2 linked regions of the Xenopus tropicalis genome follow. The protein of the gene in region 2 purifies or fractionates together with the protein of the main gene of each other region. This does not show direct contact. Links are inferred from orthologs where the notes say so. Each region holds a gene or a part of one and is shown on either strand. Other genes may lie near its edges. The genes, in order: plekhj1 and ocrl.

What was found.
Region 1: the proteins of ocrl (region 2) and plekhj1 purify together in Homo sapiens (co-immunoprecipitation; 3 studies listed by BioGRID and IntAct, counting the BioPlex papers as one, with this or other methods). This does not show direct contact. The link is inferred for Xenopus tropicalis from reciprocal best matches to the Homo sapiens genes OCRL and PLEKHJ1.

The regions. Positions count from the first base shown.
Region 1 is NC_030677.2:102,627,169-102,643,533, reverse strand, and holds the start of plekhj1 (pleckstrin homology domain-containing family J member 1), read right to left. Parts: upstream 10,031-16,365; 5' UTR 9,845-10,030; coding exon 9,751-9,844; intron 8,098-9,750; coding exon 8,030-8,097; intron 6,799-8,029; coding exon 6,732-6,798; intron 3,638-6,731; coding exon 3,547-3,637; intron 637-3,546; coding exon 573-636; intron 458-572; coding exon 392-457; 3' UTR 1-391. Other genes in the region: sf3a2 (splicing factor 3A subunit 2), read left to right, coding at 13,178-13,303, 13,386-13,457, 16,118-16,164.
Region 2 is NC_030684.2:52,467,423-52,483,143, reverse strand, and holds the end of ocrl (inositol polyphosphate 5-phosphatase OCRL), read left to right. Parts: intron 1-1,839; coding exon 1,840-1,959; intron 1,960-3,319; coding exon 3,320-3,404; intron 3,405-3,601; coding exon 3,602-3,729; intron 3,730-4,513; coding exon 4,514-4,625; intron 4,626-4,894; coding exon 4,895-5,019; 3' UTR 5,020-9,916; downstream 9,917-15,721. UniProt on the Homo sapiens protein: Catalyzes the hydrolysis of the 5-position phosphate of phosphatidylinositol 4,5-bisphosphate (PtdIns(4,5)P2) and phosphatidylinositol-3,4,5-bisphosphate (PtdIns(3,4,5)P3), with the greatest catalytic activity towards PtdIns(4,5)P2.

The sequences.
Region 1 (16,365 bases), on a different chromosome or scaffold from region 2:
CTAAAGCGGATTTTCAATTTAACTCCCAGAAAATGTATTCTAGGGAATAAAAAATTTTGCAATCATGGAGGTCCTGTCACATTTCATTGGATGCAGTGCCATTACAACTTATAGCATGATTCTGAATTTCTCATATCTACGCCCTGCCAGCATATGCAATTTCCGCAATTTACTACTATTTAAAGATTCTATGTTCTGTGTTGCACTCATTGGCCTGTCTGTAAGTCTATTTAACCAGTGAGAGGCCTGCAAAAACTCCTGACAAATGGTGCATTCCTAGAGACAAGCGTGAAGTCTATTTTTCAGTTGCCTTGGAAGGAGTAAGCCTAGGCCTGTGTGATGGGTAGAAATGCACAAAGCTGCAGGTCTCGTATCTGGATCCAGAGTTAGTTCACAAGCTGGCATTCTCTAACTGGAAACGTGATTCTCCAGAAATCCCATACTGCTCAAGTGGGTCCTGTGGGAAGAATAAGTTATATGTTAAAGGAGTCATCTGTAGAGACAAATGCCAAAGAGGCAAGTTTGGGAGCCAGTATTTGCTTCCCCCCCCTTTTTTTTTTTTAATTTTTTACCTTCCCTGTCATCTTCAGGATTTCATTGCGATAAAACATTAGGCTTCTCCTCATAAACTCATAGCTAAAATAAAAACATCACCTGATTAAAGATTAAGTTAACATAATATCCTTAGAAAACATTCTTGCAGCAAAAAAAAAAAAAAAATTATATATATTGCTATGGGTTTCTACACTGCACAAATTTAGTCTGTTATTAGATAATTCCATTAGATTAGTGCCAAAAGGCTTCTAAAGTGACACTAACACATTTCTGTAGAAGCCCGGAATGTGACCATATGACTAAGAAGAACCATTATGAAAACCACATTTCAATATTTTATGTGCAACATTTAGGGGCACGTTCATTAAAGTACGATTGAATCCGAATACAAAAAAAAATCGTATAAGTTCTCGTACTTTGCATATTTTTGACAATCGTATTTGTCGCGCCGAGTACGAAAGTTTCGATTTCGTTAAAGCTTCGTTATCGTGACTTTCCTTGGGCCAGGTTGGAGCTGCAGAGTGCCATTGAGCCCTATGGGAGACTTTCCTTGGGCCAGGTTGGAGCTGCAGAGTGCCATTGAGCCCTATGGGAGACTTTCCTTGGGCCGGGTTGGAGCTGCAGAGTGCCATTGAGTCCTATGCAGCTCCAACCTGGCCCAAGGAAAGTCTCCCATAGGACTCAATGGCACTCTGCAGCTCCAACCCGGCCCAAGGAAAGTCTCCCATAGGGCTCAATGGCACTCTGCAGCTCCAACCTGGCCCAAGGAAAGTCTCCCAGAGTGCCATTGAGCCCTATGGGAGACTTTCCTTGAGCCAGGTTGGAGCTGCAGAGTGCCATTGAGCCCTATGGGAGACTTTCCTTGGGCCAGGTTGGAGCTGCAGAGTGCCATTGAGCCCTATGGGAGACTTTCCTTGGGCCAGGTTGGAGCTGCAGAGTGCCATTGAGCCCTATGGGAGACTTTCCTTGGGCCAGGTTGGAGCTGCAGAGTGCCATTGAGCCCTATGGGAGACTTTCCTTGGGCCAGGTTGGAGCTGCAGAGTGCCATTGAGCCCTATGGGAGACTTTCCTTGGGCCAGGTTGGAGCTGCAGAGTGCCATTGAGTCCTATGGGAGGCTTTCAAAAACATGCACAGAAGAATCAAAGTCAGAAAGTTTTCCCCGCCGTTTCTGATCGTTCGGATATGAAAATTGTGACTTTCGATTGATATTATCGTGACGAATACGATTTTTTTCGTAAGCATTTTCATGACATTTTTAATCATCAAAAATGATCATATCTAATCCAAATTTTACCCATTTCGGGATTCGAACTCGTACTTTTATGAATCTGCCCCTTAAAATGTGAGTTATTATAATTGCCCACTTGTTAGGGAGTGCAGCATTTTATCCTGTCACAATATACAAGTTTTAGCTTTTATCTAGAAAGCTTCAAATTATGTGAAGGCCATATCCCACAGAGGCTATTTTAAGCAAATAATGCAAATTTTAAAAAACTATTTCCTTTTTCTATGTAGTAATAAGACAGTATGGAAATTTATACTTGATCCCAACTAAGGATGTAATTAATCCTTATAAAATAATTCTATTGGGTTTATTTAATGCTTAAATTATTTTTTTAGTAGATAGTTATAGAGAGATCCACGGACCCCCGTATATGAGAAAACCCCAAGCATTCTGGATAACAGGTGCCATACCTGTATTTTTGTTATATATTGAAAAGGTCTCAAGTCATTAAAGAAAGGAAGAAACTAATTGCTGAAACAAAGCACATAACTCAGGCAGCAGTATATGTAATATTAAAGATAAAGGGCAAATTAAGCCTACAATGTGCTCGATGTGCTAAACCTGAGGGTATATGTAGGATGCCTGCAATAAACAACTGTAGAAGGCTGTCAGTACGGTATTTGTCAGTACAAATAACACAAAATGTACAGTTAGAACTTCCTACTCTAGGGATATGAAATCTTTATTTTGCTGACAATATGCCTGGTTGATAATATATCCTAGTTACAGTGGTGCAGTATCTAGGACAGTTTATGAACCCTAAAAATGTTCTATATTTTTATATGAATGTGACCTAAATCATCATATGATTTTCAAACAAATGCTGATATGATTATATATGAACATGTATTTATTGAAAAAAAAAAAAAAAAAGCAGCTTGAAAATTAGATGAGGTTTTAGGTCACATTTCTATAAAAAGACAGAAAATTTTAAAGGCTTCAAAACCGCTATACATTTTTGTAATCTACTACATCCTGTGTTATTTAACTGTTTAACAGCCAAAATGCTGCCATAAGTAACCCGCACTGGAGATTCTTACATGTTTTAAGGGGTCCTCCACCCCAAATATTTTTTTTTTTTTTTCTTAATGAAAGAAAATGTCATTCTTATCAACTTTTCCATATTACACATTTTCAATGTTTTTAAAGTTATGTGTAAATGTAATTGCTATTAAAAGCAATATCTCTTTTTCTTATCAGATCTTTTAATCAAATAGTTTGAATACTGTGATGGTCCACAGGAAGCCATGCTGGGGCACACACACGTGCATACTGATTGTGTCCTAGAGCCCGACACGCTCCCTGCATGCTTGCATGTGATGTAAAATCCAGTTTTTTCGTATTAATGTTCAGCTAGGGGCTGTGGCCCTAGGCTCAAATCCAGCCAGGGCAAGGGTGTTGTATGTTTTCCCAATGCTTGAATGTGTTTCCTCCAGGAAGTCTGGTTCCTCCTATGAGTGTGAATGTTATAGGGACCCTAGATTGTAAGCTCTGCTGGTGAACAGTCTTATGTAAAAGATGCAGAATCTCTCTGAAGTGCTTCAGAATATGTCAGCACCATATAAAAGCTAAGAAGAACCCCAAATGCTGTGGCAGTGCTATGTAATATTCATATTTTGCAGTGTGTGGAACAATGCAGATTTATTAAAATTCGCTAAATACAGTTGGCAGCAGGTCTGCCATGTTTTATTCAGATGCGACCTACCTGGCATTGGTTAGAGCTTCTACCCACTCTACACATTGCTCCTGGCTACTGCACTCGAACATGTACTTTTTTTCTGGCTCATCTATAAAGTCTGTCACAAGAAAATAACAGTGTAATTATGTTTCATACAAATAACGTGTTTTCTTCCTGGATTCTGTACTGGATACAAGTACTTTTCCCTGACTTGCATTTAACAGTCAAGACTATGATTTAGACAATAAATTAATACAGATTGTGTCTGTATTTTGTATTACAATGGATAGCTTTAACAAAATGGCAACTTCAATACTGTATATTAATTGTATGTACAGTGGTGTGAAAAACTATTTGCCCCCTTCCTGATTTCTTATTCTTTTGCATGTTTGTCACACAAAATGTTTCTGATCATCAAACACATTTGACTATTAGTCAAAGATAACACAAGTAAACACAAAATGCAGTTTTTAAATGGGGTTTTTTATTATTTAGGGAGACAAAAAATCCAAACCTACATGGCCCTGTGTGAAAAAGTAATTGCCCCCTGAACCTAATAACTAGTTGGGCCACCCTTAGCAGCAATAACTGCAATCAAGCATTTGCGATAACTTGCAACGAGTCTTTTACAGCGCTCTGGAGGAATTTTGGCCCACTCATCTTTGCAGAATTGTTGTAATTCAGCTTTATTTGAGGGTTTTCTAGCATGAACCGCCTTTTTAAGGTCATGCCACAACATCTCAATAGGATTCAGGTCAGGACTTTGACTAGGCCACTCCAAAGTCTTCATTTTGTTTTTCTTCAGCCATTCAGAGGTGGATTTGACGAACAGATGGCCGGACATTCTCCTTCAGGATTTTTTGGTAGACAGTAGAATTCATGGTTCCATCTATCACAGCAAGCCTTCCAGGTCCTGAAGCAGCAAAACAACCCCAGACCATCACACTACCACCACCATATTTTACTGTTGGTATGATGTTCTTTTTCTGAAATGCTGTGTTACTTTTACGCCAGATGTAACGGGACAAGCACCTTCCAAAAAGTTCTGAACTTCTGAACAAAAACTTTTGTCTCGTCGGTCCACAAGGTATTTTCCCAAAAGTCTTGGCAATCATTGAGATGTTTTTAGCAAAATTGAGACGAGCCTTAATGTTCTTTTTGCTTAAAAGTGGTTTGCGCCTTGGAAATCTGCCATGCAGGCCGTTTTTGCCCAGTCTCTTTCTTATGGTGGAGTCGTGAACACTGACCTTAATTGAGGCAAGTGAGGCCTGCAGTTCTTTAGATATTGTCCTGGGGTCTTTTGTGGCCTCTCGGATGAGTTGTCTCTGCGCTCTTGGGGTAATTTTGGTCGGCCGGCCACTCCTGGGAAGGTTCACCACTGTTCCATGTTTTTGCCATTTGTGGATAATGTCTCTCACTGTGGTTCGCTGGAGTCCCAAAGCTTTTGAAATGGCTTTATAACCTTTACCAGACTAATAGATCTCAATTACTTTTGTTTTCATTTGTTCCTGAATTTCTTTGGATCTTGGCATGATGTCTAGCTTTTGAGGTGCTTTTGGTCTACTTCTCTGTGTCAGGTAGCTCCTATTTAAGTGATTTCTTGATTGAAACAGGTGTGGCAGTAATCAGGCCTGGGGGTGACTACAGAAATTGAACTCAGGTGTGATAAACCACAGTTAAGTTATTTTTTAACAAGGGGGGCAATCACTTTTTCACACAGGGCCATGTAGATTTGGAGTTTTTTTTCTCCCTTAATAACGTAAACCTTCATTTAAAAACTGTAGTTAACGGTTTTTGATGAGCAGAAACATTTAAGTGTGACAAACATGCAAAAGAATAAGAAATCAGGAAGGGGGCACATAGTTTTTCACACCACTGTATCTATTGATTCTACCAAGTCCTTAATTTTACACTGCACACATATCATACTAACTCTTAAAGCTCAATATGTAAGCTTTTTAGAATTTAATACAAAGTCAGTCAGTGTCCTGTTGTTCTTGCTTGTGTGGCACTTTCAGGCACAAACATTGGTTTAGGGACCAGGAGATGACCCACAAAAATGCAGGTATTTTTAAGGTAAAGCTTGAGGGTCTAGCTATTTATGCAAGTCGTTGGGTCAAGGTTCTCAATATAAACGCATTTACTCCTTTTTAATCCCCCTCTGTTGGCAACATTATCCATGGTAAGCAGCAGGTGGGATTGGGTAAAGATAGGAGGGTCAATAGGGTAGAAATTGGACCCATGCAGAAGTCTACCTCCAAGAACACCATTTTGCATTAAAGCTTGAGTTCAAATAATTTCAAGCAAAATATACATTTATATAAGCAACAATAAATCATCTTCAGCTGACCACTGCAGTAAAGTGTTTGTATATGGTTCAGATAAATGTAGATGCTGAATTACAAATCACTGATTTCTAACTAGGTGAAGATGATGGTCAAAATACCTGCTATCAGCTTTGAATCATTTCCAACTGACATGATTAAGGGCTGTGGCACATGGGGAGATTAGTTGCCCGTGACAAATCTCCCTTGTCGCAGGCGACTAATCTCCCTGATATGCCATCCCACCGGCAAGAATGTAAATTGCCGGTGGGATGGCATACACGGCGCCGAAATTGCCGAAGTTCCTCTCAAGGCAGGTGGGATGGCATTTCGGGGAGATTAGTAGCGGGCGGAGGGATGCCCATCTGTAATGGCCCTAAGAAAGTGAGAAAAGTTAACCATAGTTCACCAGAGGGGAACTCCCAACTCTCTAAGCACTTATATAGGATTAATAACTATACCCCTAAAAACCTTGAAACTGAAGAGCTTTAAAATCTCCCTCTGAGGGACTGTAGCAAGCATTATTTTCACTCCTTTGAATATACCCCTATGTGCCCACTGCAGTTGGGAAATTGCTGCTATATTTAAATAGCTATGGAAAGAAAGAAACTGTCCAAATTTCATGTCTGCTTAAGTACTTATAGACTCCCCACAGTATAGTACCTGTACAAACAAATTAGTGCACAGTGAAAATGATTTTTGTTTTTATTCTAGTGAACGTTTATAATATGTTGAAAAGAACTGCGCATTCTTACTATATGAAGGCCACATCTGTGTCACAGTAATATGTCAAACTAAATCGGTAGTAATATGGTAACTTTTAAAATATACCACAAAACATCCTGTGTAGTATACAATAAGATTAGGGAAACCTAATCTGATACTCACGTATGGAAAATCCTTTTTCATCCTCCTTTGATACTCTGCAGTGTTCCAGCAGCAAAGCTCCAATGGGCTAAAACACAGAGTAATAGCAGCTGTTAAAAAGTACTGGTGAAGCATACCAGCAAGTGGTGTTAGGTGAGTTTAGGTCTAGCAGTAAAAGATGCAGAAAAAGTTCAATGAAGTTTGAGGAAGTCTCATTAGCTAAAGAAAGTGTTTGTGTCTTTGTAAATAGCATAATGACTGGATAATGTAGATATTAGTGTCAGGGCTTGATGCATAATGGGAAAACTAGTTAATGGAATAAATGATGGGTAATTAGGAAGCTGGAAAAAGATTTGAGGTTAGATATATAGGCAACAACAACAGTAATAGCAGGTGTCGAGGTACAGTCCTGCAATGGGTCAGATACTCGTGGATACACTGCATAAAAGGCGGGTTTCCCTAAAGGTTGCGGGTAGGATTTTTGGATGCAGGCATAGATGCGGGTCAGCCCCTCATGGATTGGGTTACGGGTAAGGCATTTGCGGATCGGGTTAGGTAGCAGGTCCAAGCTGCCTTCCAAGGTTAAAATGCGGGTTTGAGGCAGCTTTCAAAATATTGGTTCTGTGCAGGGCAGGACTCTATTTCAAGGCATTTTCTTATCTATTAATGACTGTACTCCATTAACTAACCACACAGAGAAACAGTGAAGTTGCAAGTAAGTTTCAGAGCGGGGATGTAAAGAGAGGGAATTACATGTAAAGCTAACTATATTTGTTAGATTTACAAGGCAGGGACCTCCTTCCACCTGTGTCTCAACACATGTAACTCAATGTTGTAACTGTGTATATTTATTGTTATATATATGGTCCCTGTCTGTGCTGTTGCTATATTGAAATAATGTGTAGTGCTGAGTATATAAATAGGACTTATAAATAAAGATATTTGTATACACACATTTGGAAACCTCACCAAACATGTATATTTTATATTTGACCAATCTTGCATTAGGAAAAGTTAAGCTGACGCGGCCATTTATATCCCAGACCAAAGGTCTCAAAGCGGGAACATTTGTAGATCTGTTGGGAGGGGCACCTGAATGCACTACACAATGCAGTCTGCTGCCAACATAATTCTTCCACCCTTCCCAATTAATATTTGATCATATATTGATCTGGTAAGTTATAGTTTTAGTTATATACACTGTCCAGTATTCTGGATCTAAATCAAGAGAAAAATCAAATGCTGGCTTATGTGCATGTATAGCTTTACCCCAGTACTGTGTAAAACTTATAATTGAAATTTTAGTTACTGTTTCCTACCTCCTCCTCATCTATGCGGAAATAAAAGAGGAAATTCACAACCAATTTTACCAGGCGCTTCTTCAGTACTGTAGAAAGAAATATAGTTAATTTCTGAAACATATCACATGCCTATTCAGTATTTAGTTTCTATTTAGGGAGTTTAAGAAGGATGGCAACAAGCTCTTATAAAAAACTGATCTAGTACTTTTGGATTTCTTTTTTCCTTTCTGTCTTCTGACTTCATCAAATGACATTATGCTACAGTTACTGATCCTTGCTGTAATTAACTCTTAACATAAAAAAAAAATGAGAATTTGTTAAAGGGGCCGTATACTGCCCTTTTAACGTTAGTTTAATGAATAGTGGTTACACCGTGAATCCCTCTGTATTATAAGATGCTCTTTATTTCAGTCTAACAAACCTTTCAGATGAGGGAATGGAGGAGTTTGTTTATACAAAGAGCTTCTAATTTGTTTTGCTTGTGCTCAGGCAAACAGGAAGTAGAATCTGACTTAACTGTCAATTTTAGATTTTGCCCTGTTTAAAGAAAGAAATAATAATAAAACCCACCATCAGTGCATGTATGGTGGGAGACAAGGCAACCAATATCAGTAACAGCCTTGGATATTGGTCACCTTGTGGATCAGCAGGGCTGAAAATTTTGATCAAGCACATTTGAAGGTGCCAGAACATTGTAATGTTAATCCTGAATCATCACATAGGGGTAAAGAATTCCTTTGTTTTTACCTGCATGTATGACGATTTAGCTCTTAACGTTAGTAAAATGGATGAACATGCTACTATATAAATAAGCTGCTGTGTAGCCATGGGGGCAGTCATTCAAGCTGGAAAAAAGGAGAAAAGGCACAGGTTACATAGCAGATAACTAGTAGATAAGCCCCATATAATGGGGGTTTATCTGTTATCTGCTAAGTAACCTGTGCCTTTTCTCCTTTGAATGGCTGCGCCCATGGCTACACAGCAGCTTACTTATATAAACTATAGTAGTCTTTCTGAGGCAAACACACCAGTTATACCAGTGCAGGGCAACAGTACATTATCTTGTTATTACTTTTATACACTTTCATTTTTTGGTGTTACTGTTCCTTTAACTTTCCCTTATGGAATTTTATGGATGTAAATTACAAGCAAATATCTTCATGTTGCTTTGGCTATATGGCTTAGATTTACTGGGTTGTATCTGTGCTGTTGAGCAAGAGGCTCTGGCCATAGGGACATAGAGGAATCATTTGCCTGTCTCTGCCTATGATTCCATAAGTGAGGGTTAATGCCTCTATTTGGATTTAAGGAAGTGCTACGTGTCTAGCATGAAGCTGAATATCTTATTTCACTGCATGTCAGTAATTGTATGTAACCTGTATATCTGATAAAGCTGCGGAGTAGGTTGGTGCTTTACAAATATGTGCTAATAACAACAACTATATGATAGGCACAGTAAGAATTATGACAGTATTAACTCCTCATACTTTTAGGGTGCTCATTTCTTCATGATTTAGCATAACAGTCTATCAACTAATGTCTCTTTATTTGCACAGCTTCCGTCTTTAAAAATCTGCCATATTTATCTGACAGCTAATTGCTACAGGGCAAGGTACACAGTTGCTTTAACTTGCTCCACAATTTGTTATTGCGCCAACTCTTGTTACAGAAATGATACATTCTTCCACGTTGAAGTTTACAATGTTAAGTGGCAAGGGCTGCACGATGGAATCACTCACCGCTCCCCTTCTTCGGGCCTCTCATACTCAGCTCTGCCGCTTTCTCTGCTCTCTGCCTAGAGAGGGACAGCAGCTCCTTCTCATTGTAGCGCATCTTCAGCCAACTGCATTGCCCGGGACTCGCCGCGGGCGGAAGAAAGGCTGCGGAACAGCCGGGGACTACACAAAAGAAGCAAGCGGAGTCAAACTCACTAGGGGACAGTTCAAACCTTTAAACTAATATTCATGTGCAATTATAGACTCCACATTATACACAAACTCGCAATAAGGCTGATAGCTGTCTAGCACCAGGAATGAACAACTCTGTTTATCTTAATAAAGTTATACACACCGTTGGCGTCACTTCCGGTATTTTCTGCACACTTCCGTCCTCTCTCGCTCGTCGTACGGCTCTTTGCCTCTTACTTCCGGTTTAGAATCCGGAGTGGGGGAACGTCGAGTTTGAGGTGCAAGAGGTAAGGCGCTATGGGAGATGGGGGATATTGTACAAAGAAACATAAACGTTATGTTCCTTATCTAGCAAATATAAACTTCCTTGCTTATGGAAATGGTCTGTGGGTGTCTCCATTTAAAGGCAAGCTGTGCACGTTGGAGTGCTTCTTGCCGCTTAGATTTGTATGTATCTCGGTTGTTTATTTAAAAATGTATGTACTGTTTCTTACCCTTTTTTTTTTAAAAAGACTGTTTCCCTTCCAAATAAAAAAAGCACATTGAGTTTTAACAAATATCCAGTGAAAGTTAGGATACTGCAGTTATCCAGGGTCTGTGTTTCATTTAGACTGGAGGCAATGGAGCAGTGCAGAGTTTGTATGCTGATTTGAATCGTCAATGCATTATACCTCCTAAACCACTGTGCATCCCAAAGGGAGTCCATAAATGGGACTGGGAATTATATCTAGGCGTTAGGGGTCATGGGTTTCAAATGCAGATTGTTACTATGTGGGCAGTGCCCTCCTCAATGTTTGGGACAAAGGCACATTTTTCTTTGATTTACCCCTCTGCCCTTAAGTTTAACATTTGAAATCAAACAATTCAGATGTGATTAAAGTGCACATTCCAGACTTTCATTTAAAGTTATTTGCATACATTTCAGTTTCATCATGAAAAAATGACTTTTTATACAGGGTGCCATAATGTTTGGGACAATTGGCTTCACAGGTGTTTGTGATTACTCAGGTGTGTTGCATTGCTTAAGGCTGATGCCACACCAGGCGTAGGGCGGCAAGAATTCAGCCCTACGCCTGCTACTTGTGCCTGCACCCGAGCGTATCCCATTCATTCGGGTGCAGGCACAAGTAGCAGGCATAGGGCTGAATTTTCGGCAAGCGTTTTTCCGCTTGCCGAAAAAATCAGCCCTACGCCTGGTGTGGCATCAGCCTTATAAGTGCAGGTATACAATATAATGCGTAGGCTTATGACTATGAAGATTTTCATTCATCCAGGTCATGGTATATCTAGTATAAATAAATCTAAAGCAACTGGACTTGTTAAGTAATCATTGAAGACGTTTCACTACTCATGATGAACACCAAATCCTCATTCAGTGTGTTACATAAAAAAAAAGAAGATTCGCCAATATAATGAATGAAGGCTACTCACAAGCTTCTGAAGAATCACAAAGCATATAATCATTTAAGTTGGTAATTCAGTCCAGATCTGCAGCTCTACTGCAGGAGCAAAAATTAATAGCAGCAAGCCGTATACTGCACATTTGCATTGGTTAGAGTGGATTGGGGCATTATTTTAATAGCTGTTTATACTAGTTCATGATGTCTGTTTAGCTTCAAAGCCTCAGTACAATTGGACTGGACAGTGGAAACTCTGGTGTGGCAATTTATACTTCACTGTCTGGCAGTCTGAAAAACTATTGTGGTTTTTGTGGATGCCAGTGAAACACTTGAGTGGGGATATTTTGTTATGGTTTGGCTTGTTTACCTTGTTATATATAAAAAGCAAAATCTAAGGCTACTGCGCACAATAACATTGTGCTTACTACTTTGTAGCAACAGTTTTGGGAATGCTCTTGTCTGTTTCAGCACAGTGCTGTCCCTATTCACAAATTAAAGTCGATACATAATGGGTTTGCTTACCTGTAAGTGAAAAAGCTTACTTACCTGAATAACCTTCCTAAACAACCACATAATCTCAACTCAAATAGCCATTTGTTGGATGAATTTGAACACCGATTGGGAGCCAACACCAATGCCCAACCTCACTAAATCTCTTGGGCTGCATGGAAGCAAATCCCACAAACAATGTTTCAATATCTAGTGGCAAGACATCTCAGAAGAGTAGAGGATATTTAAGCAGTAAAGAGTGGACCTCATATTAATACCCTTGGATTGAGATGGCAGGAGTTTAAAACCTTCCTGCCTGTATGAAATCTACCACTTTGGGGTCATGGTACTTGCAGTGTTTTGAATGCTGCTGCTAGTAGCAGTAAGCAAAACTCCTCTATTCAAATCCTTTAAAGGAGACACATTGGATAAATGGGAAAAACCCTAATTTTGTAGGCAACTATGAATAATATATGGTACTGGTTTCACTTTGGGCTAAAAATGAATCCTATCTAAAAATGGTCCTTTTATTGGACCTCCCTATAGATCCTATCCATTCTCTGTCCGTGTTTCAAATGAAGGGTGGGCGTGTCCATAATGGTCCCTGCTAGAAGCACAGCAGGAGGGGGATAGCCAATCACAGCCTTGCACTCACACAAGCAAAGACAGGCTTCAGTTCCCAATCAGATCAGCCTAACTGCTGATTAGTTCCTATCCTACAATGCAGTGTACTGAGAGCCGCCAGCTCCCCTGCACATAAAGAGAATTCAGCCAGCAGGAAGTGGAGCAGATGGGCGGGACTAGTGGGGTTGTGGTGGAACACAACTTTTTTTAAGCACAATCCTTCTATATCTAGAGGAGTATAATTCACTGGTATATTCTTATTTTATATATATGATATCTCTCCTTTAACATTGAGTTAAATGGAATGTAGCACAGGATGCTTAGCGTCTTGTACTTATGCTAAAAAATGTTTGCATGCCCATTTTTGACCACTGCTACAATTAAGGCTGATGCCAGACGTGGCGTAGGGCTGATATTTTCGGCAAGCGGAAAAACGCTTGGCGAAAATACAAACGCGAGACTTTGCATTCTCTCACGTTTTCATGCGTATATCGGCTACATGTGCCTGCACCCGAGCGTATTCCATTCATTCGGGTGCAGGCACAAGTAGCAGGCGTAGGGCTGTATTTTCGCCACGCCATTTTCCGCTTGCCGAAAATATCAGCCCTACGCTACGTCTGACATCAGCCTTAAGGTTATGAAAACATCATAGCCCTTGCTTTGAAACATTTGCTTCAGTGGGTAACTTAAGTTTGAATTTCTCGTCAGGTGTTTGATCTTGCTTGTATCCTCGACAATCCCCAACCATGGATTTCCAACACAGAGCCGGAGGAAAGACCGGCAGCGGAGGGGTGGCTTCTGCATCTGAAAGTAACAGAGACAGAAGGGAGCGACTCAGACAACTTGCTTTGGAAACTATTGACATTAATAAGGTACTATAAATATTTAAGAGGGACCTAGGGTTGCATTAATAACAATTATTTAATTTAAAATATATATATATTTTTTTTATAGGATCCATACTTTATGAAAAACCACCTTGGCTCTTACGAATGCAAGCTTTGCCTCACCCTACATAATAATGAGGTAAGTTGAAGGAGAAAGATTGCAAGCACTCATTTTGACTTTAAAAATAGTTTTTATAAAAAAATGTGTTAGTACCACACTTTGGCCAAAATATATAACCTCACTGGTCATGTCAAGGCCCGTCATTGTATGTGAGTTGTACACTGTCTATTAGTATTCTAAGTCTGTAGTGCATTTAAAATCAAGTCCCCTGTGATGGCCATGACAAGTAAAGTTCCATGTAAAAATGGCTCATTTGATTAGTATTATAGCATATACAGGTCCTTTTCAAAAAATTAGCATATTGTGATAAAGTTCATTATTTTCTGTAATGTACTGATAAACATTAGACTTTCATATATTTTAGATTCATTACACACAACTGAAGTAGTTCAAGCCTTTTCTTGTTTTAATATTGATGATTGTGGCATACAGCTCATGAAAACCCAAAATTCCTATCTCAAAAAATTAGCATATTTCATCCGCCCAATAAAAGAAAAGTGTTTTTAATACAAAAAAAGTCAACCTTCAAATAATTATGTTCAGTTATGCACTCAATACTTGGTCGGGAATCCTTTTGCAGAAATGACTGCTTCAATGCGGCGTGGCATGGAGGCAATCAGCCTGTGGCACTGCTCAGGTGTTATGGAGGCCCAGGATGCTTCAATAGCGGCCTTAAGCTCATCCAGAATGTTGGGTCTTGTGTCTCTCAACTTTCTCTTCACAATATCCCACAGATTCTCTATGGGGTTCAGGTCAGGAGAGTTGGCAGGCCAATTGAGCACAGTAATACCATGGGCAGTAAACCATTTACCAGTGGTTTTGGCACTGTGAGCAGGTGCCAGGTCGTGCTGAAAAATGAAATCTTCATCTCCATAAAGCTTTTCAGCAGATGGAAGCATGAAGTGCTCCAAAATCTCCTGATAGCTAGCTGCATTGACCCTGCCCTTGATAAAACACAGTGGACCAACACCAGCAGCTGACATGGCACCCCAGACCATCACTGACTGTGGGTACTTGACACTGGACTTCAGGCATTTTGGCATTTCCCTCTCCCCAGTCTTCCTCCAGACTCTGGCTCCTTGATTTCCGAATGACATACTTTGGACCACTGAGCAACAGTCCAGTGCTGCTTCTCTGTAGCCCAGGTCAGGCGCTTCTGCCGCTGTTTCTGGTTCAAAAGTGGCTTGACCTGGGGAATGCGGCACCTGTAGCCCATTTCCTGCACGCGCCTGTACACGGTGGCTCTGGATGTTTCTACTCCAGACTCAGTCCACTGCTTCCGCAGGTCCCCCAAGGTCAGGAATCGGTCCTTCTCCACAATCTTCCTCAGGGCCCAGTCACCTCTTCTCATTGTGCAGCGTTTTCTGCCACACTTTTTCCTTCCCACAGACTTCCCACTGAGGTGCCTTGATACAGCACTCTGGGAACAGCCTATTCGTTCAGAAATTTCTTTCTGTGTCTTACCCTCTTGCTTGAGGGTGTCAATGATGGCCTTCTGGGCAGCAGTCAGGTCGGCAGTCTTACCCATGATTGCGGTTTTGAGTAATGAACCAGGCTGGGAGTTTCTAAAAGCCTCAGGAATCTTTTGCAGGTTTTTAGAGTTAATTTGTTGATTCAGATGATTAAGTTAATAGCTCGTTTAGAGAACCTTTTCATGATATGCTAATTTTTTGAGATAGGAATTTTGGGTTTTCATGAGCTGTATGCCACAATCATCAATATTAAAACAAGAAAAGGCTTGAACTACTTCAGTTGTGTGTAATGAATCTAAAATATATGAAAGTCTAATGTTTATCAGTACATTACAGAAAATAATGAACTTTATCACAATATGCTAATTTTTTGAAAAGGACCTGTAGATGCTGAGTTGTTTCATTAATACCTGTCATTGCCCCAGCCCTTCCAAACATCAGTTAATATGAGGACGCACTCATAATCATCCACCGTGTAGATAATGTGCAAATAAAAAGTAGTTTATTTACAAAAACAGCATGCAAATAGCCTTGTGCATTTCATGCCTAAGTGGGCACATAAACAAGGGCCATGATGGAAATGGTTGGTATTAATGTAAGTGTTTGTGAGAAGGATCTGTGCCTTTTGAATTGAAAATATATTGGCAATGCAAAGACTTTGAGCTAATAACTCAAACTAAGTAGTAATACATCTAGTAAATGTTTATGAGTAAAGTTGGGGATATTAAAATTGCAAATGTATAAATCACTTTGACATTATGCAGCTACTGGGAATTTCCAAAATAGCTGGGGCTAAAAATGCAAAGCAGTGGTATGTTGTGTTGCAAAAGTTCAATAGAATGAGCTGGCAGGTGCGTTTAGACACTAATGGGATTATGTAATAAAAAGCACTGAGTTTGCCCAGGTGCTGTGACCTATAGCAACCAATTAGCAGGTTGCATTTACTGGTCACCTGTTTAAAAGAAAAAATCTTATTGGTTTAAAAGGCATAAAGGTCATTTTCTTATCGCATAATTTTATTTTTTTTATTGTGACATGCTCACTCATTTTGACTCTCTTAGATGCTATTAAGGGGTATTCAAGAGTTACACAAATGCATAGTATAACCCACTTTCAAGTACATATGCAACTAACTGAAAGGATATGTATTTACTCAAAAATGCCACTTGCTTCTCCATTCATTGTTGGTATCTTCTCTTTCTGTAGGGGAGTTATCTGGCTCATACACAAGGAAAAAAGCATCAGACAAATTTGTAAGTTAAATGTGCTGATTTTATGCATTAAAAAACACAGCAATGTCAAGTCAAAGTTTCCATTATTTATCTAAAGAATGTAAACATAGCCACCCCCAAACTGTACTTCAGTTGAACGTTGTGGTGGGAATTCCTTCCTAAACCCAAACTTGACAGATAATTGTAGGAAAGGAAACCACCCAACCCATTTTTAATTCCAAC
Region 2 (15,721 bases):
GCCAAAAAGTTCCATTTTGGTCTCATCTGACCAGAGCACCTTGTTCCACATGTTTGCTGTGTCCCCCACATGGCTTGTGGCAAACTGCAAACGGGACTTCTTATGGTTTTCTGTTAACAATGGCTTTCTTCTTGCCGCTCTTCCATAAAGGCCAACTTTGTGCAGTGCACGACTAATAGTTGTCCTATGGACAGATTCCCCCACCTGAGCTGTAGATCTCTGCAGCTCGTCCAGAGTCACCATGGGCCACTTGGCTGCATTTCTGATCAGCGCTCTCCTTGTTCGGCCTGTGAGTTTAGGTGGACGGCCTTGTCTTGGTAGGTTTACAGTTGTGCCATACTCCTTCCATTTCTGAATGATCGCTTGAACAGTGCTCCGTGGGATGTTCAAGGCTTTGGAAATCTTTTTGTAGCCTAAGCCTGCTTTAAATTTCTCAATAACTTTATCCCTGACCTGTCTGGTGTGTTCTTTGGACTTCATGGTGTTGTTGCTCCCAATATTGCCAACTTTTCCTTGCAGATCTCTTCCAATTCAGAGATCTTGGGCCATCTTGAATGATCTAGCCACGTACTGTCAGGCCATTCCAAAACTTTCATCTTACTTTTTTTCATGTAGCTCACGGTGGCTTTTGCAGTATATTTAGGGTCATTGTTTTGTTGTAGGAGCCATGCCCTTTTTAGGCTCTTGGCTGACTGTTTCACCTTGGCATCCAGATGTTGCTGATATTTAGTGTAACTTCTTTTTCCTTCCTTCCTACACATACAATGTTTTTTGTGCCACTGGCTGCCCCAAAACTCCAAAGCATAATTGATCCACCCCATGGCAAGGTGTTTTTTCACCACATGCTTCTGTTTTTCTCCAAACAAACCTCTGGTGATTGTGGCCAATGAGTTAAATTTATCAACAGTGCTTGTTTTCAAAAGGCCTCTGGCTTGTCTAGATGCTGTTTTGTTTACCTCTGTAATTGACATTTGTTATTTGGTCGCTGGTCCCTACTGACGACTTTCCATTCCAAATCATGTTGAACGGTACAACACCACTTATTTGTCAGCCAAGACCCTTAATACAAATGGGGTGTTACTAAATACTTCCTAGGGTGCACAAGCTTATACCCATATCCCAGTTACTATATTTTTGTTTCCTATGATTTAGGAGAAAAAAAATTAACTGCATTAACATTTGCAAATATGTTGCTTTAAGCAATAGTTGTCCTACCTTTCACTTTCAAATAAATATCTAATTTGGAAAGGTGGCCTAAACATTTGTATTCAGCTGTATAGGGTAAAGTCTAACCTAATGATCAGTTCTAGTGCTCAACGTTGTGGGTACATTGTATAATATGTGTAAGAACTGCTAATATGAAATCTACACAAAAAGCAAATATTTATGCAAATTGCAAAAGTTTTTACTTTACCCAATATGTCCCCTTTAAACAGATCGACATAGGATCTATAAATCTGTCTTTAAGACATGGCCACAGATGTATTTAATGGTTGTAACACAATGTAAATGACAGGCCAGAAGGTATGCAAGCTAATAGCTGGGGCATGTACAAATTCTTTGTCACACTGCAGAGTAAGTCTGTTCATTTGTGTAAAGCAATTAGTATCACTTTAAATAAAATGCCCATAAAAACACAATAACTGACCAGGAATGGAACCTCGGCCTCTCGTCGTACATTGTCTTACCCACTGAGCTGCTGTTTCAATGTGAAAGTAGCTTGTATCTTTAACTTGATATTTTATAGAGATTCTCCACTGTTTGATTTTTTAATGTGACTTTCTCTGCAGCATATATAGCAAGTGCTACAGTAGTTATTAAATCTCTGTATTCCCTTAGGAGAAAGCGGCTCTGCAGATGCTTCCACTGGAAAGTGATGAGACAGCTGACAAGCCCATGAAAATCCCAAAGGAGATCTGGCTCTTGGTCGATCACCTATATAAAAATGCTTGCCGGCAGGTTTGTTAGGGGGCGCATGGGTCTTTTCTTTACAATATCTATAAAACACACATCAGCAAACACTTTTTAGTTTGGTTCCTCAATGCAGTATATTAACATTGTGCTTCTCAAGCTGTTGTGAGTGTGGTTGTACCAAGGGTAGTCTTCAGCCCCTGCTGCTTGTCCTTTCCAAAGCCTCCTCTCTCAGCACAAACTTTGCAGTGCTCCATGCTGTTCATTTTAAATGATACTTTCCTTTTGTGCCCATAATTAGTTCATGTACTTATTGGTTAAATGCAGTAACCCATAGCAACCATTCAATTCGGATTGTACTGTCATAAGCTGGCCAAGAGGCCATACCAAATAAGATCAGCTCATTCAGGTAGGGTCATCTTGGCTCAATGATCAGTTGGGTCTGAATGGCAGAGCTGAGTACCACATCCATGATGAATGTATTTCTTACTTATTGTAGCCAGTCTTAAAATAGCTGACTGAGCCCCAACCAACAAATGTTTTTTTTTTTTTTTTTTTTTGCATGTTTGTGTGTAGGCAGCCATCTCAGTGCATTGTGCCTGAGTCTAAGCTTTCAAAAAGCATTCAAAAAACATTAAAACTGCTTTCAGGTAACCTTTTGTTTCTCCTATTCCCATGTAACTGGAGGAGTCACAAGCCGGACTTTGATTTCTTACTATCGAGTGCTATTCTGATATTCTGGGAGCTGCTATCTTGCTTATCTTCCCATTGTTGTGCTGATCGGCTGCTGGGAGGGGGGCGAAGGGAGGGGAATCTATAGCCTATAGAATTCCTCTTTCTGCTTTTTATAGGTAGTTATAGTTACTAATTAAAGTAAAAGGACATGTGTATTTACCAATTCAACCATAGAATTTCCTTAACAGAGAATTCTCTATACAGTAGTTTTAGTGCTCTTTTGAAGCACCCTATACAATGAAAGCAATATATAAATGCAGATAGAGTAAATATGCTGTGTGTGTGCAGCACAAGCTGTCCCCTTATACTCTACACCAGAGGTCCCCAACCTTTCTTACTCGTGAGCCACAGTCAAGTGTAAGATGACTTAAAGAGCAACACAAGCATCATAAAAGTTCATGGAGGAGCCAAATAAGGGCTAAGATTGGCTATTAGGCAGCCTCTATGCACGCTATCAGTTTACAGGAGGCTTTATTTGGTAGTAAATCTTGTTTTTATTCAACCTAAACTTGCCCCCAAGTCAGGAATTCAAAATAACTACCTGCTTTGGGGGCACTGAGAGCAACATTCAAAGGGTTGGTGAGCAACGTGTTGGGAATCACTGCTTTACACAGTCTATAAAGGAGTATCTATACACACAGTTTTTTTTTATATCCTCTTTGTTGTTTTACAGGAGGATCTCTTTCAGACCCCAGGAAAACAAGAGGAATTGCAGCAGATAATTGACTGTTTAGATACCAGCATTCCTGAAACAATTCGTATCCTTAAAAGGCTGTTATTGTATAGAGGTCGTCGTACTTTGTGTTCATTCATTTAACATAAACTGCTAAATATAACTTTGGGCCCTCCCTGTCGGGAGGGGCAGAGCATGATGCCTAATATTAATGACCAATGTAAAAGTATAATTGTTGACATGATTCCTCTATTTAGACAGACCTTAACTCAATCTCTCTAGCTGGTAGTAACCATTCGGTTGCAGAAGCATTACTGATCTTTTTGGAAGCACTGCCAGAACCAGTTATTTGTTATGAACTGTACCAGAGATGCATTGACTGCTCCCATGATACCCGACTTTGCCGACAGGTATGTACAATGTAGTTACAGTCCAATAGCTTGTATTCTTGTGGCAGGTAAGTGCATTCTCTCCATTTATTTATATCAAGCATATTTTATACCCGAACAGCCCTATTTGAGAAATAAACCTGTCATTGCTTAACACGTTTTTCAGAGAGATGTTGGTTCTCTTAAGACCCATGGCACATGGGGCATTTTCTCCACCAGTGTTTTTCAGCTGCCAGCAAAGTACACAAACATGGCCTTGTAGCTGGTCATGTAATTGAATGGAGTACCACTTCTCCTTATAGATTATAAGCTCTTTTGTGCAGGGCCCTCTTACCTCTTGTATTGGTTATTGGTTGCTTTGTGTGTAATTCTGTATGTATAAAACCATTCATTGTACAGAGCAGTGGAATATGTTGAAACTTTATACATACATACATGTTAATAATAATAATGGAATCCTCCTGTTGCTCAGCTGTAACAGGTCTTTTTTCCTGCAGGTATTTAATACAGGGATTTAATTCACGTTTATGAGAGGCTTTGTGGTCATATTCCAGCACTTTAATGCCAGCACTTTATGTGGGGGTTATGTGATAACATTCTCAAACTTTGCTTCAAATTTTGTGACTCACAGTATCGGTTACTAAACCTTTTAGCAATCTTTGTGCTTTTTACATTGCCAACTTGTTTCTGCTGGACATATATTTATGTCTCTGAGAATATTCAATATACTTTATGCTTAGGCACCTTTTTTTTTTTGGTTCTTGACCCCTGACTCTTGCTCTGCTGCTTATCTTTTTACGCATAGGTGATTTCTCAATTGCCGCGGTGCCATCGAAACGTTTTTCGATATTTAATGGCATTTCTCAGAGAGCTGCTTAAGTACACTGGAGACAACAACCTGAGTGCCAACATGATCGGTAAGGGCTTAGGATAAGTGAGTGCATGGGCATCTTTTATTCTTGTTGCATTTATATATAAACAGGGCATACATCTGCTAAGTATTCAGTAACATAAGGACCTTTCTGTGCAGTACTTGTGTAATCTGTAAAATACCCACTACAACCAGCCTAATCAAGATCATAGCAAATTTCTGTGTGACTGTTGGGTTATGCCAGCATAGAGGTTGTTGCCACCATTCCCCTTCCCAATTTCAAATATCTTTTTTTATCTTTTGTTATTTAAACAGCCACAGTCTTTACTAGCCTCCTGCTACGACCTCCGCCAAACTTAATTGGGAAACAGACACCGAGTGAACGGCAGCGGGCAATCAATTTCATTCTGGGATTCCTTTTGTCAGTTGATGAGGAGTAAGCCATATCAGGACTGTAAGGAGTGCTGTAGAGGATAAAAACAAGTAGGCACTCGTGCCAGGCTGCTACAGAGCCAAGGGACTATGAGTGGGAACATTGCATGGGGTTCTGATATCCTTATGGCAGGGAGAGAGAAGCCTATGCCAGTTGTAGTACTGTACCTATGCTTTTCCCACATAGTGTATACAATTATCTCCAAAGAAAGGACAACACTTCCTAGTTGGTTTATCTGTACAAGGTGTGGATTTGTTTTCATTGTCATTGTGGAACACCGGTCACCTTGTATATTAGCTATGGACCCACCCCTCTTGGTCAGGCTTCTGTCAGTCCTATCTTGAACAGTGGTGCCATTGTCACTGCTCTTTGTGGCTTTTTTCCTGTTAAAGTGATCTTTTTTGTTTCATTTCAGTGTATTATAGTATGTTGGAAGATATGAACTTCTTCCCATTCTGCCTCATAGGATCACATGATTTTAGGTTTGCACTTGGCAGGGATAAGCAGCCATGTTCATTCTCCAAGTTCTAAGTTAACTGTTCATGGTCTGTGATTTTTTTTTTTTTTTTTTTTACTGTATTTAAATATTTTCACCTGAAATTTGTTGGTATACTTGTTGACTTGCCCTTGCCTCTTGGATAGTCTTTCTTATACTTGCAGATAAGAGGGCTGTGATGAAAATTGAAAGCACCTTAGAACCAAGCCAAAGGTTAATGACATTTCTCAGCCAGTGTTCAGCGGATCCTGGCATTGCAATTATTACATAAAAAATCCAGGAGTATTACTGACAGGGTTCCTGGCATATGGAATTCTATATATCAGTGATGCCATCTGCTCAGCAAAGTCTTATAATGGTGGGAAGTCCTGATTTTAGTAGAATTGCATTAGACAAGCTGCACTTTACCCATGATCTGCTCTATATGAGCTTCCCCCTTTACACATGCATATCCATGTAACCTAGAAAGCACACACAGCTTCACTGTGACTTGGGTTCCTCGCTGCCTTGGTTTCTGTTTTTATGAACTCCCTGTTCTTTCAAGTAAATATTCCCAAAGGTACGGGCAGGGGGTGCATTTTAAGGTTTATTTCCCCAGGAGGAGTGTTAGTTTCCTGCAGGCAGTGGGCTGTTAGTTCAATGGCTCTGTGCTATTGTATATTAGAGGAAATTATAACAATCAGAGGTGTACACATGGGCTGTATGCATGAATGAATAGCAAGTGCTTCCAAGTGCAAACTGGTGCTCCGCTCATAAGATGCTAAACTACAATTATCACGATTCTACAATGTAATTTGGCAGTTGTACTTGTGCAGTGCCTGGATCTGAGGTGGGTGTCTTTACCTGCATTGGCAGCAGATTCCCCCATGTAGCCCAGGGGTATTTTCCATAAGATGAAGTGTCTTGCTAGCAAGCTGTGCACAATGTGCTCTTTTATTTGATAGTAGGTTGTTTTAGGCTTCAGGGCTATGACATCTGGGACATTTTTACCAGCACTAAAATTAGACAGAAAATAGCACACATAACAGTGCACAAACGCTCAGGCCTTTCTCAGTGGGGGTCCCCCTATCAGCGCTATTAACCAATGACCATTTTGTCTGCCACTGTTTTACCCCTGATCACATTGATGGTGCATACTGCTCCCTGCATACTGCTAGGCTCAAGTTTACTATTTTAATATTTTTATTCTGCAGAAAGGTCAGACACTACATAAAATAAATACCTTTCTGTGTACATGTACGCTCTCCACTCACCATGGTATCTGTGGGTTATTCATACAGCCAGGCAGGGCTGTCATTCACTAACACTAAGTCGGATATCTGCAACCTTCGGCTCCTCCTTGACTTTTGTTCCATTTTGCTTTTTCTACAGAATGTTTCCATTTATATTATTATTATATATTACTATAATTCAAAGTGTCGATGTCCAAAGTATTTTAATTGTGAAAAATGACCCCTGTTCTCTCTTATTTATGCTTTTTTTCATGCATGCTACTTTCTCTCCCATTGGTTAATTGGGCAGCTAAGTGTGTTATGGGAAACTGTCATACCTATAAAATGCAGCCATGAATGATGAGGGAACTAATAATGTAATATTAACGTAAATTACATATTTCAAAATCCATAAGCCATAATAAAAGATTCCGCCATGCATAGATGAAGCCACCTTCTCTTAAATGGGAACATTTTAATATTCAGACTGAGAGTCAGTGTATCTTTAATTCTAGTACTTTAATGGGCTACACCTAGTTTGGGTCATACTGGACAGTTATGCAGCAGATCAACTAAAAGCCACCAGACCTGATTTGTCCTAGTCATCCTGTAAGAGTTTAACTGGTTATTTTAAACACATTACCAGAGAACTGACCATGGGTGAGTAAAAGGCTACCTGTTTGATCATTTGCTTGTTGAATATGGAGCTACCAGGCTAATATACCTGCTGCTACTAGTTCCAACCTGAAGCTAATACAGTGACTGAATGGCATTTATCACTTAATATGTTGGTCATGATGGTCATGCAAAGCATTGACAATTTGCCTTTGGAAGATGCCAGGGCTCTGTATAGCAGGTGCTGCCAGAAGCCATTAAGGAACTTGGTACCCTTAGCTAATGTCAAATAAAGTAGTTCACCCTCTGCCCCAAATCATGTCTCTTGCGTGGTACCAATAACAAATATAAAGTTAATAAAATTGTGGATGAATGTAACTGAAACACATATACATTTGCATTTTTGCTTTATTACTGTGTCAGCATATTTTAGTGTTTTTAAATAACCAATTCTTTTTTAAATGTTCTTTTATGAGTATGGATGTTAAGAATGTATAGGAACTACTAAGAGAGCAACAATGAGAGTTGACTTGCCCAAAAACGGAGGGAAAGCAAATTCAATTCTAAGCAACTTTCCAATATACACTAAGTACAAAGTGTCACTGATTTTTTAAATGGATGGTTCACCTTTACATTATACAATGATAATCTTGGGCTATTTGCCTTTTATTTATTGTAGCTTTCTAGTTATTTAGCTCTCTGTTCGGCAGCTCTCCACTTTGGAATTTCGTTTGGATACTACAGTGTTATTTTCCCTAACCACCAGGCAGTAATTTGAACCAGAAATGGGAATATGAATAGAGGAGAGCCTAAATAGAAAGATAAATAAAAAGCAACAATAACAATAAAACTGTAGCCTTACAGAGCAATAGTTTTTGCTGGGGTCAGTGACCCCCATCAAAAAGCTGGAAAAATGCAGAAAAGGAACACAAAAATAAGACAAATTGCAAAGTTGGAACTAAACATTGTAACAATTGGACAAATTGTAACCACATATTTACAGTTTACATACATCATGCAGGGACTACAAAACCCACAATGCATTTCACTATGATGTCCTTTTCCTTATTGACATCACGTGTGCAGGGAATTGTGGGATTTGGATGATGCAGGTTGAGGGCAGTCAACTACTATTTGTTTAGGGGTTTTTGTTTTTTTGAGTCAAAGTAGTCAGGCAGATCAGCAGGAGAACAGGGTGCCAGGCTTAGGTAATTGCAAAGTTGCTTGAAATTATGTTTACTTTAAAAAAAGCTTACGTTTCGGTGGAGTTCCCCTTTAGGAAAATGTACTTTAGAGCTCAGTTATAATTGTAATAATTTGTTCCCCACAATGTTTAAAGAACCAAGTAATGACCTGAAACATCTGTATGTGCCTGGTACATGGATCTTATCGCTCTCAAGAGGAACTTTTGGATGTGTGTTTGCTGGCTGAATAGAAATATCACCCTTTTTCATATTTATTGTGAGCAGATCCTCCAAGCATTCTCCAATTCAGAAATTCAGCTTGTCGCTATCAAGCAGTGATACAAGGTTTCTGCTTTATTGAGTAGATAATCCATTTGTGTGTATATATATTCATTTTTGACCATTATAGTTTGAAACCACTGAGCACAAACCCTCCAATTCCGTATATAACTGTTATGAACTTGCTCTTCATCTTGCCAGTGATTTATTGCCACTGTCTTGTTTCCTCCATGGTACTTGCATTCATACAGGGCTAGTCGCAATTAGTTGGTCAAATGGATATTCTTATCTCATAATGTCTACCTTAATGTAATTCCCTGCCATACTTTATTAAATCTGTTTGTTTACCCAGTCAGTGGTCTTCATCCAACAAGATTTACCAACCTGGCAGGTACGAGTTAGACAGGCTCTTAGGAGGGCCCCATACATGAGCACGTAAGCTACCTGCTTGCTCTGAAGGGGCCAAGTTGGCAGCTTTTATTGGCCAGTGTATGGTCTGGTTGAGCCTTCTTCCATGCGAATAGGTAGTTAAGTCAAATACCATTTCAAGGTAGCAGTGCAGTAAGTAGTAATTATTTATGCCATGTGACTTGCCAGACAAATGTTTTGGTCCTGTGGGTCTATATCTGAAATCCCCAGCCATAAAGCAATACACAAGTGTAGTTTTCTGCCAGACAGGAAAGACACTTATACACACCCCCTAAAAATATTTTCCAGACTTGCACTAATTGTATTAAACCTTTTTTCTCTTTTTTATATAAATATATATATATATATATATATGTATATATATATATATATGTATATATATATATATATATATATATATATGAAACACTTTTTATTTTGAAGTCCATATGCGTTGATTGTTTTTATTCCACCTTTTTATACACTCCAGTAGGATTTCTGGGTTCATCTTGTCATATTTACCCATCCTAAAGGCTCTAGTGCAGGCGTCCTGTATCTCGCTGTAAGTGAGCCTCCTTCATACGAGCTAGGCAACTCCTCCTGTATCTTTCTGTCACTGTTTTATTTTTATATATAGGAAATAATTTATTTGGTAAATAAGATGTACTGAGCAACAATTGTGCAATCAATAAAGTACTTTTATGTCATAAACTGGCAGCACCGTCTCCTTTTGTAGCATGTTTCCCATGGCATAGGCTGCACCGGCACCCAGTGTCAGGCTCACTTACCAACACAGTAACCCATAACCACCAGTCAGTGACTAGCTGTGATCAGACAGCTGCAGATAGAACAATGAAAGGAACGTTTTAATTGGTCTGCATGGCCTATGTATGGCCAGCTCAAAAGGGGCGTATCAGCTTGAAATGAACTTTTAGTATAACATAGGCCAAGGTATTCTAGTTTGAGCTGTACACTGTTCTGCCACTTAGCTCAGCAAAAAGGGCTGATCAAGTAGAACTTCAAATCAGAATGGTTTGTGTGTGTGTATGTATGCAGTAATCCTAAGGTGTCTGCAGTCATACCCATTAAAGGTAAGTAAACCTTTAAAATATTATTTTATTTCAAGATTATAAGATATTAAGGGGAATGTGTACTGCTAATATGAATGAATTTTGTAGAACAGCGCCACCTACTAGTCAGTTTCTGAAGGGTTTGGCATGAGAAACAGGGGCGATTCTGGACATATCGCCGCCTGAGGCGGCTCCTGGATCCCGCTCCCCAGCGCTTACCTTCTGAGCGCAGGAGCGGGTCCGGGGGCGGTGAGATCGCTAGTTCAGAGAGCTCAATTGCGCTCTCTGCACTAGAAGAGCCAAATTTCCGTTTTAAAAACTGGAAATTTGGCTCTTAAAGTTACCAGGAGCGGCTTTTTGCCGCCCCTGGTAACTGGGGCGAGTTTCTCAACTCGCCTAATGGCAGAAGCGCCCCTGATGAGAAAGAAAGGTCTTATCTGAAGAACATCAACCGAGCTCATTCTCCTGACAGTTTCCTTGATATTAGATCACAGCTGGAAACTGACCAGCAGGTGGCGATGTTGTGACAAAATTAATACTAACTGTATACATTTCCCTTCATATCTTGGAATCCTCAAAAAATAGTCTTTAGAATAGCACTCTCGTCAATTTTACATTCACTTAAAGGTTTACCTATCCCTTAATGTTGCATCCAGAAGGGCTACCCATGGTTTTGCATACCATGGCCACTTAAAAGGGGTTGTTCACCGTTAAATAAACTTTTAGTATAATGTAGAGAGCTCTATTCTGAAACAATTTGCAATTGGCCTTCATTGTGTTTTATTTGTGGTCTTTGAATGATTTAACTTTTTGTACAACAGCTCTCCAGTTTGGAATTTCAGCAGCTATCTGGCTGCTAGGGTCCCAATTTAACCTAGCAGCCTGGCAGTGATTTGAAAGAGAGTATCAATAGAAGAGGCCATACATAGAAAGATAAGTAATAAAAAGCAAAACTCACAGCAATAGTTTTTTGGCTGCTGGGGTCAGAAGAAGGCAAATAATTTAAAAAGTATTTAAAAAAAAAAATGTAGACCAATTGAAAAGTTGCGACGAATATGCCATTCTGTAACATACTAAAAATTAACCTAAAGGGTGAAGCACCCTTTTAACTACCAATTTATCTGTGTGGGTGACCATATTATTGTAAAACATTGATCTTATACAGAGAGCTCTATGGAGATCCTGGGTATGCTGTGAGCTATAAAAAATATAGTAAAAGCCTTCAGTTGGACAGCCCTGATTTAAACCTTAGCAGCGCTCACTGACCAGTAATGGTTTCCTTGCTTTGTAACAGACAGAGCTATGAGCAAATGGGATCTGCACCCAAAAATTCAGGCTATGCTTAAAGGGGATGTGAAGTCAGTAAGAAAATGAGTCGGAGTTGTACTATTGACATTTACTTCAGTTTTTTTTATGTTGAACCATTAAAAGTTATTAGCAGCTTTCTACAGCCAACTTACTACTGGGGTCTTTCACATGTGATTTTACATACAAGCAATCTTTCCAACTGCTCTCACATATACAGTACACTGGAGATTTGCACTGGGCCTTAACCTCTTAATCATTCTTAAACAGAGGGGACTGAAAACATAGTAGCGCTTTTGATCTGGCAGTCCCCTAGGGTTAAGACGACTAAGAGGCTCCTTAGTTATAGAAGGACTTAATGGGGAACTATCATAAATGGGAACCTGCTTAACTTGGCTCAGTACTGACAGGCAGCTTGTGTTCTGAGCAGAGAGGATTGGGAGTGGTTCAACCATTCTTGACTGACTAACGTTCAACCCCAACCTGTGAATCCAACATACAGGAGTCTATGTGCCTGTACACACACACCGTTACCTGTGCAGAGAGGTCTGTAATATTGTTGCACTTGATGTGTCACTGGTATGGAGGAAGTCTCTTATACTCTCTTTTGTTACCCCTGTATCTGGCTATTAAAGTAAGATATGTATCTGTGTGTGTAAATTGCAGGAGGGTGACTGGCAACAAATCTAAGCCTGCTGGTGAGCAGCACAAACCCCAATGCAAAGGAGCCCGAAGTGCTGTGTATATGTGGATAGAAAGGATAGAAAGAATAAGCTGCTTTACTGTTATATGTACAAATTCAGCTCCATCAGCGCCCAGCCCAGCTCCATTCCTTTACCTTCCCTTTGCACATATTTGCTGTTGAGGGGTGTGGCCTCATGACATGCTACAGCAAATCAGCTTTCCCTCTGCTCTGTCACTCACACATTTCTGCGTCACTGATGCCATAACATTGTAACCGTGCAAAAATTTTAAAAGCTATTAATTGTCAAAATGTTTGTCTAGACTTTATATTTTCAATATTTTCATTTAATATTTTCATTTAATGTATTCTACTGTACAGCGCTGCATACATAAGTAGTGCTTTATAAATAAAGATATATATACATACATACATACATACATACATGATAGTTCCCCTTTAAGTTCCCGGGTTAAAGTATTCTCCTGGCAGTTCAGGAACTGGCCAGTAGGTGTCGCTATTTTAAAGCATATTAGTAAGAACAACGTTTTTGAAATCCATCTGGACAGTCTGGTGGGACATGATAATATACTACAACTGATAGTAGAGCCAGAGAAAGGATATCCCTTGTCATATATGACACTAGGGGGCCTATTTATTATGCTGTGTATATAAAATGATGGCAAAATTCAGCACACATCGCCAGGATTTGCTGCTTTAAAAAAAAAAATGCATTTTTACTGGAAATTACATAAAATAATGCTGCAAAATCTGCTGTTCAGACAGCGAAATTCAGCATTTATTTTACACAACTTTTCACACCACTTCTTTGGCGATTCTTGCTTTACACAGCATAATAAATAGGCCCATAGGTGTGATACCCCAGATTACAGAGGAACTTGGGGCATATTTATTGCAATGTTTAAGCCAACATCACTGGTGAGGTTGCCCATAGCAACCTGTAAGTAATTAGTATTGATCAGTCACCTACAAGTTAAAAAATAAAAGCATTGCTATGGACAGCGTCTCTGGTGATCTTGGCTTACACGCTATAATGTGTGTCTGTAGGAGACCTGGGGACTACTATAGCTCACATAGGTTCCACTTGAGAGGAAGCCTGAAAACTGGGAGTGTGATACTTTCGAGTTGAAATAGTCCAGTGTTCAATGACTGATCCCTAAGGGGAAAAGTACTATTTGTGAGTATATGTGGGAAAACGTATCATAACTCTTGGGCCTACTTCTTCTGTGACTCCTGTTAATAAAGCCTTTGCTGTTTAAGTGTAAGACTCACTGGAGCCCAATTTACTGCCTCTGTCCGAGAGATATAGTTCTACTACACCCTCTCCGCCATACACGTGGGCCCATTCCTGATGGTTGAGAGTAGCGTGCATAATTTGCTGATTAAATGGATAATTCCAGGAGCACTACGTGCCTCCATTTAACTAGCACCTTACAAACAGACTCACAGCCCTAGAAGATAGTGTTTATTTCAGTTGAATATCATTTTATTTATACACTTAATGCCTTATATCAAAAATTGGTGCAGCAGGCTGCTATTGATGCCAAATTGACAGGACAAATTGTAACTGCTACTCTCTCTATTCCAGGTACATTTTACATTTCTGAATATACGCTTCATGTGACCTTGCCCTAAAGTGCAGTTCTCCATTAATCTGAAACACAGACCATTGCTGGTGACAGTATCTTACCTTTCAGAGAATACTTAAGGACTGGCATGTACAAAAAATAATTCAAATGTAATTTAGGTGTTGAATAATGGGCCCCTCTTTATGTGTCACCCTGTGCAAACTAGAGTTTCCCATTATGGTGGATAATATGAAATAACAGATTATGTATTGGCCTACATAAAGAAATGAAGGGGTAGGTCTTGAACTAAATAGCCTTAAGGGAGAGAGATAGGGAGAGTCTGGGGGGCTTGGAGTGGTCATGGTGATAATACAGATTCCTATGGGATACAAGTCCACTACAGAGGCCAAAAGGGTCTCCTAGCAGACAAACAGACAAATGGCCCTGAAGAAAAAAAAAAAAAACCACAGACTTTAAACAGAACATGCTCTGAAAAATAGTCATTCCTAAAATTGCCACAAACCCTATGAACCTAATTTGTAGTTTCTTACAAACACCCATAGGTGACACTATAGCACTGTTGGTCAAGTCTATTACTGCACATAATCTGTTACTACAGGAGGGGGAAGCCTATTTCAGGTTATTTCTTTGCACTTGCATCTGGCACCCAATAATGAACCCAGAAGATACTGGCGCTGTTTCTGCATCGTTATATTACAGTCCAATTATTCTTATTTGATTTTTTTTAAGTATATCTTCCATTGATTAGGGACACCCTCATGATTACAAATACTAATGGAAATACTGACTGAATGAGCTGTTTCATTAAACCTCCTAATTCAGCAACACTGGGAATTGCACAGTATGTGTCTGTTTATGTATTTCAGATACAGTAGAATGGATTCACATGCTGGCTGATTTTCACTAACCCATGTTTGGCCATATAATAAGAGCTTATGCTGGGAAATGGGAGTCATCAGCTCCAGCAATGTAAAGTAAAGTAGCCATACATATAATATAATGACATTAGAAGCCACCTTGGAATACTTGTATTGCCCGATTCATTAGGCCAAATCTTTATACGAAATACACAAAAGCCATATCAATTGTAGTCTGTATACAGGCCAGTGTTACTCTGTTGATATGGCAGACCCATAGCGACAGTTAAATGTGGTGCCGCTCTGGGACTGTTTTTCTTCAACAAAGACTGGGCAGCTTGCTAAAATATACGTATAAATGATTGAATCAACCTCCCCAATCCCACTGTTGCTCCTCTACCAGTCCTGAACTGAAAGGTCAGCTCCTATAGTTGACCTTTGCTATTGGCTCCATGCAACAGGATTAACCCCTAAGCTCCCATAATACTGCCTATGCATATCACCTTACAGTACACATGAGCTCTATGCAAAAGATTAACCTCCCCAGTACTATAATAGTGCCCACCTCAGTCAGTTCCCTGCAGCTGCCTGTGTCCCCGAGATGCTCAGGTAAATCAAGTGAAGAGGACAGGTGATTACACCTCTTTTATATTTAATATACTGTAGCTAGGGTTGCGTTAAATTCCACAAAAAAGTCATATTTTTCTCGAAGATTATCACCATTTCAGAATTCATTCAAGCTTCGGTATCATGATTATCTTTTGGCCATGTTGGAGCTGCAGAGTGCCATTGAGTCCTATGGAAGGCTTCCAAAATCATTCATTGAAGTTTCAAAGCCAGAAAGGTTTTCGTGCTGTTTACGATCATTCGGATACGAAAATATTGTGACTTTCGGATCGCAACCACGATATTTTTGTACAACGAAGAAAAGAATGTGCAATTTTCGCACATAAGAAATTATCGTGGTTCCAATCGTGCTTTTAATTGGTGAA